Ovis aries: one gene and its partner. The protein of the gene in region 1 interacts with the protein of each later gene in a pairwise test. Links are inferred from orthologs where the notes say so. Each region holds a gene or a part of one and is shown in the gene's direction. Other genes may lie near its edges. The genes, in order: PKNOX1 and PBX2.

Region 1 (3,806 bases):
TTCCCTCGCAGACTGGCCTGCCGTCCTCTGACCTCCTTCCCCCCTGACCCCTGCCTGTGGCCTCTCCCCTGTGTCCTGGGTCCCTTGTCCTCTGTGTGACTCTTGCTTTCCATCCCAGGTGTCTGTCCCCTTTACCGTCCTGACCCTCAGACCCTTTCTAGACAGAGAGCTTAGCTTTGCAGGGTCTGGGACGATCCTAGAAACATTCCTTAAATCCCTGTGGATGGTCCCAGAAACACAGCCGGGGGAAGACAGGCTGTGCAGCCCAGCGGGCTGAACCCCGATGGCATGGTGACGCCTCTTTGTGCCACAGGGGCCGTCGTGACCATCACCGCGCCGGTGAGCATGAACGTGGACAGCCTGCAGTCCCTGTCATCAGACGGGGCCACGTTGGCGGTGCAGCAGGTGATGATGGCCGAGCAGAGCGAGGATGACTCAGTGGACAGCACAGGGGATGGCGGGGCTGCGCTGGCGCCCGGCCACCTGGGCGGGCTGGTCCTGGAGAACAGCGACTCCCTGCAGTAGGGCCCGGCCGCCCGGCACCCCTTTTTATAGTTTGCACAGCAAACATTTTACACAGTTTTATTTCTAATATGTTTTATATGTAGGCATAGAAGAGTGCACTTTTGTATTTCATAGTAAGCTTCCAGGCCGTCTTTGCCGGTGCAGCGACTTCTTCTTTCAAGGTGTGTGTGTGCGTGTGTGTGTGTGTGTGTGTGTGCACACGTGTGTGTGTGTGCGTGTGTTTTTAAGGAGATTCTTCAAAGGTTTAACGCTAAAAATGTGATGAATGACAAACACCTCCCCCCCACCCCATGAGCCCCTAATTAGATTAAGGACTAGTGCTGCCATTTTCTGAACAATTATGCAGTTTTAATTTCGTTCTGTGGTTAAGGCAGGTCTCTGGGGGCTGGTTTACTTGTCAGCCCCGGGATTAGGAAGAAGCCTCTGCACCTGGAGGCCGCCCGTGTGAGGCGGATGACAGCACAATAAACCGCGTGTGACCTGTGGCGAATGTTTGCGACTCAAATGTGGTTCCGTCCTCATGTTCCGTGAGCCTGTGTCATTTGCTATATATGAAAAGAAACTCCTATTTTTACCTTGCTGGAATTATTGGATAAAAAGCTATTTTTATAAATTCCTTATGAATTGGATTATGACTATGTCAAGGGTAAATTCTAGAGGAGAAACAGTGCACACTTACTGACTGTCTCAATTTGAAAGGTTCTGAGTTGGCCAAATTGGAAGAACCTGCCCCCAGTTAGCTAGTATTCTGGTTCTCTGCTCTCCCGGGTAGTAATTCACATTTTCTACTATAAAAGAAACGTCTATTTAATGAAATTTTGATATCTTCAAATTCTAGTCAATATGTCGCTCAGATTGCAGTTTACACTTTATCTAAACGTACGTCTCAAGGTGTGTGCTAAGTAGGGCTTAGGTAAGTTAAGAAGTGGTAGCCAGCGGTCAGTTAAAAGCTTTTGCTGACTGTTTCCGTCTAATTTAAGTCTGACCACGGCTAAGTGGTGGTGTGCCGTGTTAGCTGGGTGTTGTCTTGGGAGCTTTCGGTCAGCGTATGTTATGCATAGGAAGTGTGTCATAAACTACTATCAAGTGTCCCTCCTGTCGGCTCAGAGCAGGCAAAGAGCAGACCCTCGGCTTTGTTACACAATTAGTGCACATCCACTGCAGGACGGACAGGAACCAGCAGGGCCTGGGGGTGGGGCGGCGGTGGCGGCTCGGCATCACTCGGTTGGTGGTTCTTCCTCTGACTTGATCACATCACCTCTGGATAATGGTGGGACTTCGGCTCCTGGTGACCAGGCGGACCACAGAGCAGGCTGGGTTTGTTTCCCTGGGTTCGGATTTGCATCTGCCAGTTTACTTTCAAGTGAGGCTTTTTCTCAGAGAGGAAGCAGGACCTGGTTTCACAGAAGACGTCTCTGCATCACCATCAGTGGGGACACCTGAAGCCCTGAAGGACAGTCTAATGGTCGTCAGTTCCTGAAAAGCAGCGATAGTAATTGATTGTGGACCAAGGCTACCCAGGGGTGTTTTGAGCAAGTGCAGATTTTTTTTCTGGAACTGACTTTTTCTTCCCAAATTATTAATAATTAAAGTTAGTCATAGGAGAATACTTCCTGGATAACTTAGAAGGAAGCAAGAAATACAGAGGAATTTCTTTTAAAATATTTCAGGAGATTTAAAAGAAAAACTTGACTTTCTTTTGGGGGAGAAAATAACATTTTTAAGCAGTTATTGTGTTCCTTTTAAACAATTTTATATTTTTTAAGTCACATCTTTTAAACTATACTAGTTTGAAAGATTGTTTTAAGTCCAACAAAGTTAGGATTTAAGATGAGACCCTGTGGAAGCTGGCCAGCCACCTCCTCCCTCCCTCGCCTCCCTCTGTCCCTCTGACCTCAGGTTCAGGTTGGTGACCACGACCTGCGGTCACTCCAGGTCAGTTTCCCCAAGCAGAAACCCTGTTCGTTGGAGCCGGGGCTCAGGGCTCGGGCTCCACAGGCTGCAGCAGCATGGACATGGGGCCACAGCAGGGCCATGTTGGGGTCCGGCAGTCGGTGCCTAGGGTCGCAGTCCCTGCTCCCTGCAGCTGGAGTCTGCATCCTGGTCGCTACATTCAGAGGACTAGGATAAAGATCATTCGAGAGGGGGCATTTCAAGCTCTTCCCATGAGCAACTGATGGGATCTTAACCCAACAGGCAGACTATTTTGGCTCATAAGCCACTGTCTGGGACATTGGTAGTTAGCTGGCACCTAATAAAGACCCATTTCTAAGCCCCTGGGGTTTTAAGAGCATCTGTGAGAGCACAACCCTGCTGAGCTCTCATCTTAAAGGAATTTGCTCTTGTTAAATTCTTTTCCCTGAAGGATGGTTTTGACTGTGTCTTGCAATCCAGGTTGAAAGTGTCGTGTTACCTGCTGTCAGCTCTTGAGTGGGTAGCAGATGGCTGGGCCATGTCCAGCCACGCTCCAGCTGCTGCAGTAACGCAGCTTTCGCGTTCTGATTCCAGAAATAAACAGTGTAAGTGTTTGTCCAGCGTGCAATGTAAGGTGGGCCACGGCCCCAGCTCGCTCAAAGACCACAGGGCCCTGATGCTGGAGTCGCCGTGGCCTGAGTCCCAGAGTCTTCTCCACATAACCTGCCCACGACCTGACTTGACTCTTACCGGGGTGAGAAAGTGGGGGAGTACCTTTTCTTTCAGACAAGCTGAGACATCCCAGGAAGGCGAGAATGGCCTGCCTCTGGCAGTTAGGGACAGAAAAAAAAAACCCCGCCACCCTCTCCTAATTTAGTTCTGTCTGGTCTGTGAACTGACAATCTTTAAATGTGAATGCTGTAACAATGTTTTCTTGGATTGTTGTCTTTGAAAGGGATTTTTGTGAAGCAACTGATTTATCAAAGCAAAAAAATTAAAAACAAACATGCTTCATGGACGTTTTATTTTCTAAAACTCATGTCACCGCAGATGCTTTTGCATTTTAAGGACAACATTCAGATGTTGACATGTTTGCTGGTGACACTTGGGGTTTGTCGCGACCCCCACAGATTCTAAAAAATTAGGATTGCACCACCCTGGAGCACTCAGGCCCATTTGCATCTTCAAGAATGTTTTCTAAGTTTCTTGAGGTAGTCACTGGTTTTCCAGGAAAAAAAAAAAAAAGGAAAGCTTCAGTTTGTTTTTTATTGTAGTTCACCATAAATCTAATTATTCTGATAGTAATGAGAAGAAAACAATTCACTGGTAAGGTATTACCTTTTGTAGTTCATAATGTGAAATTTCCT
Region 2 (4,237 bases), on another chromosome or scaffold:
GCGGTCAGAGCCTCCTCTACCCCCAGGGGGGCAGGAGCTCTTGGAGTTGCTGCTGAGAGTTCAGGGTGGGGGTCGAATGGAGGAGCAAAGGTCCCGGCCCCCCACACACACCTGCTGAGACTTGAGCCCCCACCACCCCCTCTGCATTCCTGGGGCTCAAAAGCTGGGCAGCCCCACTCATGCCCTCACCCCTGCTGGGGAGGAGCACCAGAGACTGGAAGACCCAGCAGAAATCTCAATATTCATCACCCTCATCCACCTTTCCTGGGAAGTGGAGCGGGCGAAAGTCTCAAAGCCTAGGAATAGCCAAGGTAGGATGGATAATAACTCCCGCCATAACCAAGTGTGTTATGAGGCTATGAGAGGATCCCAGCCTCAGTGGGACACCTCACCCTCTCTTCTGATCTCAGGGAGTGCCTGAGAGTCTCCGTCCTGAGCTGTGGGAACAACCCCAGTAGTCAAGCTACCAGGTGGGATCTCAGGGTTCTGTCCTCCATCTCCCAAAAGAACGGCAAATCTCCCAAGGTTTTGACCTGGGAATTCCACCCTCCTTCCCAATAAGAAGAAAGGAAGAGAGGGCACGGCAAGACATAAAGACCATTCTCACATCTCCATCACCCGCACCCCCTAGCCCCAGGCCTACAGGCTGTGAAAGGACATTTAGCCCTGCCCCCCCTCCCTCCCCACTGCTGTTCTGAACTGTCTGATGTTTGGTTATATGAATAAATGTGATCCCCCTCTGGACTGAAGACTGGTGTCTGGGGTGGCCGGGTGGAGGGTAGGTAGGTGAGGCCGGAGGCTGCCCGCTCTCCCGAGTCTGGCCAGAGGCCAGCTCCCCTCCCTGGCTGGTTAATTACTGGCTCATTAAGCAGCGGCTGGAGACCTCCCTAATTATCCCCCCCAGCCCCCCTCTCCTGGTTTTAATTAAGTAGAACAGGGAGGGGAGTCATTAGGATAAGAAATATGAACTAAGCTGTCTGTGAACCCAGGCATTCCAGCGGCCAGGGTCGTCATCAGCTTGATCCCGGATTCAGAACCCGGGTGGAAGAACCCCCAGCCTCCAACACGCCCCCGCTTCAAGGCCACAGAAGTCCAGCCCCTGGGCCCTTCCCTCTTTTTCCCCACGGGCTAGTCTCCGCCCTCGTCCCCTCCTCCACTCGGTCTCAGTTCCTATGTTTCTGTGCGTCTCTCTCCGCCCCCAGCTCCTCCCTGTTCCTCCTCCCTTCTCCCCTCCTCTTCCTCCCCGGCTCCCCTCCCCCAGCCTCCCTCCCTCGCTCCCCCCTCCTCCCTCCTCCCTCCTCCCTCTCTCTCTCTCACACACCCCCGCTTGGGCCTCCTCTCTCTCTCCGGCTCCATTTTCTCCGCCGCCGGGGGCCGGGGTCTCCTGTGGGGGGCCCAGACGGTACCCCAGGTCTCCCTTCAGGGCCGGGGTGAACCCCCGGGAGAGACGGGAGCCGGGGAGACGGGCGGGGGTTGGGGCGGAGGGAGCAGCGGCCCCAGCGAGTTTGGGGGGGAAGTAACCAGGCGGGGGGGAGGGGCGGAGCAGGGAGGGGGCCTCAGGGCCCCCCCCCCAACTATGGACGAGCGGCTGCTGGGGCCGCCCCCTCCAGGCGGGGGCCGGGGGGGCCTTGGATTGGTGGGTGGGGAGCCTGGGGGCCCTGGCGAACCTCCCGGTGGCGGAGACCCCGGTGGGGGTAGCGGGGGGGTCCCGGGAGGCCGAGGGAAGCAAGACATCGGGGACATTCTGCAGCAGATAATGACCATCACCGACCAGAGCCTGGACGAGGCCCAGGCCAAGTGAGTGCCCCCAACCCGGGACCCCACACAGACCCAGCAGAAGCCCCGTTCACAGTCTCTGAACCTTCTGGGAGCCCCCAACTCAGGACCCTCCCCAGGATACTACAGCTGTCCTCTCCTTACTCCCGGGAACCCCAAGATAAGTGATCCCTCTCAGACCTCCCTTCACCCCCAGTCCCTGAAACCTTTGAAAAGGGGAACCCTAGGTGGTCTCACCCTCCACCGCTCCCTAACCACCCCACACTCCCCTGGAACATCCTTCCATCTCCAGAGACCCCTTCTGACTCCCAGACTAAAAACCTGCTGTGCTCTCTGCTCCCCTAACTCTCCAGCCCACCCTCTTCCTAGGGCTCTCCAGACCCCTCCCCAGGGCTCCTACCATTTCTCTCCACCCAGGGCCCAGCCTCCAAGGTCCTCAGGCACCCTCCGCCCCTGCTCAGTCCCAGGACCCTTCACACTTCTCTATACTGAACTCCCCACTTCAGCTCAGCACCCCTCACCCCCTCAGGCACCTCAGACTCTCATCTCCTCCTCCTTCTCCTCGGCCTCCTCCTGGCTTCCTCTGAAATCTACCTAGTCACCCTTATTTCTGCAGTCATTCCCACATCCTCTTCTGTACCTTTCTAGACCGTCTCCCACAGGCCCCACCTGGCCATGGTGCCTTTAGCTGGCGGCACCTTCCCTCCTTCCAGCCAAAGCCAGGCAGCTTCCCCTTGTCTCCGCATGGAAGCTGAACTCTTCCTAAGAACCCCCCAGACTTCATTCGGCCCCCAGCCTTGCTTTTTCTTGCCACAGATTTTCCCACCACCTCCCTATTCCCATGCTCCCCTCTCTTACCCTCGTGGGTGTGTCGTCCTGTGGTTGGTTTTCCCCCTTGACAATTCCATAGCCTCTCAACTTTTCTCTCCCGTTCCCCAAGGAAACATGCCCTAAACTGCCACCGCATGAAGCCTGCTCTCTTTAGCGTCCTGTGTGAAATCAAGGAGAAAACTGGTACGTGAGTTCCCTCCTCCGATTCCTCAACTCTGGGGACAGAACCCTGTTCCCTGTGGAACTTAGGCTAAGAGTTTGACAACTTGGGGCCCTGAGGAAAGTGTGGGTCAGGAAGATTGCTAAGGGGGGCTTGGGTGGGAACCCACGCCTGGAGACTTGGGTCTCCAGGAGGGCTGAGAGCTGGGGTGTGGGGTCCCTGGGTCCCTAAGTCCACTCGCCTGCACGCTAGGCCTCAGCATTCGAAGCTCCCAAGAGGAGGAGCCTGTGGATCCACAGCTGATGCGCTTGGACAACATGCTTCTGGCAGAGGGTGTGGCTGGGCCTGAGAAAGGGGGTGGCTCAGCGGCTGCAGCGGCAGCAGCTGCAGCCTCCGGGGGCGGAGTGTCCCCTGACAACTCCATCGAACACTCGGACTATCGCAGCAAACTTGCCCAGATCCGCCACATTTACCACTCAGAGCTGGAGAAATATGAGCAGGTGAGGAGAAGAAGCCAGAGTGGGTGGAGGGAGAGGCCTTTAAGGGGGATGCCCAGGGCCAAAGGGCTCCTGCTAACCAAGCCTCGGGGCCCCCACTGCAGGCGTGCAACGAGTTCACAACCCACGTCATGAACCTGCTGAGGGAGCAGAGCCGCACGCGGCCCGTGGCACCCAAGGAGATGGAGCGCATGGTGAGCATCATCCACCGGAAGTTCAGCGCCATCCAGATGCAACTCAAGCAGAGCACCTGCGAGGCCGTCATGATCCTACGTTCCCGCTTCCTGGACGCCAGGTGGGGCCCAGGGCCCCCAACCAGCACCCAGCACCCAGCTCCTTCCCATTCTTCTCCAAGCCTCGGGGCCACCGTGTTGCGCAGCGCAACACTCTGCTCCGAGACAGTGGCGCCCTCTGAAGCGAATCAACAGGATGGTGCGGCCAGGACACCAGCACCCTCCTCATCACCCCCTCTCTCCTCTATAGACGGAAACGCCGTAACTTCAGCAAACAGGCCACGGAGGTTCTGAATGAGTATTTCTACTCCCACCTGAGTAACCCATACCCGAGTGAGGAGGCTAAGGAGGAGCTCGCCAAGAAGTGCGGAATCACTGTCTCTCAGGTACCAGGGAGGCTCGGGGAGGTGTTTGCAGGGCACACAGCTCTAACTAAGGTGTTGACAGAGGAACAGGTTCCCACCTGACCCTGCTTTCTGCCCACCACCCCGCAGGTCTCCAACTGGTTTGGCAACAAGCGGATTCGCTATAAGAAAAACATAGGAAAGTTCCAAGAGGAGGCAAACATCTATGCCGTGAAGACCGCTGTGTCGGTCACCCAGGGAGGCCACAGCCGTACCAGCTCCCCGACACCCCCTTCCTCCGCAGGTGGATCCCACTGCCACTCTGGCTGGCCCTTCTGCACACTTCCTGCTTTTGCTCCCACTTCTTGCCCAGGCAGGATCAGAGCAGAAACAGGG

The links.
Region 2: the proteins of PKNOX1 (region 1) and PBX2 interact in binary tests that used the Homo sapiens proteins (3 or more experiments, as listed by UniProt). The link is inferred for Ovis aries from reciprocal best matches to the Homo sapiens genes PKNOX1 and PBX2.

What each region holds. Positions count from the first base shown.
Region 1 is NC_056054.1:263,884,526-263,888,331, forward strand, and holds the end of PKNOX1 (homeobox protein PKNOX1), read left to right. Parts: intron 1-313; coding exon 314-525; 3' UTR 526-3,442; downstream 3,443-3,806. UniProt on the Homo sapiens protein: Activates transcription in the presence of PBX1A and HOXA1.
Region 2 is NC_056073.1:26,273,751-26,277,987, forward strand, and holds the start of PBX2 (pre-B-cell leukemia transcription factor 2), read left to right. Parts: upstream 1-1,342; 5' UTR 1,343-1,576; coding exon 1,577-1,797; intron 1,798-2,716; coding exon 2,717-2,790; intron 2,791-3,019; coding exon 3,020-3,267; intron 3,268-3,368; coding exon 3,369-3,559; intron 3,560-3,747; coding exon 3,748-3,883; intron 3,884-3,991; coding exon 3,992-4,145; intron 4,146-4,237. Other genes in the region: GPSM3 (G-protein-signaling modulator 3), read left to right, coding at 1-118. UniProt on the Homo sapiens protein: Transcriptional activator that binds the sequence 5'-ATCAATCAA-3'. Activates transcription of PF4 in complex with MEIS1.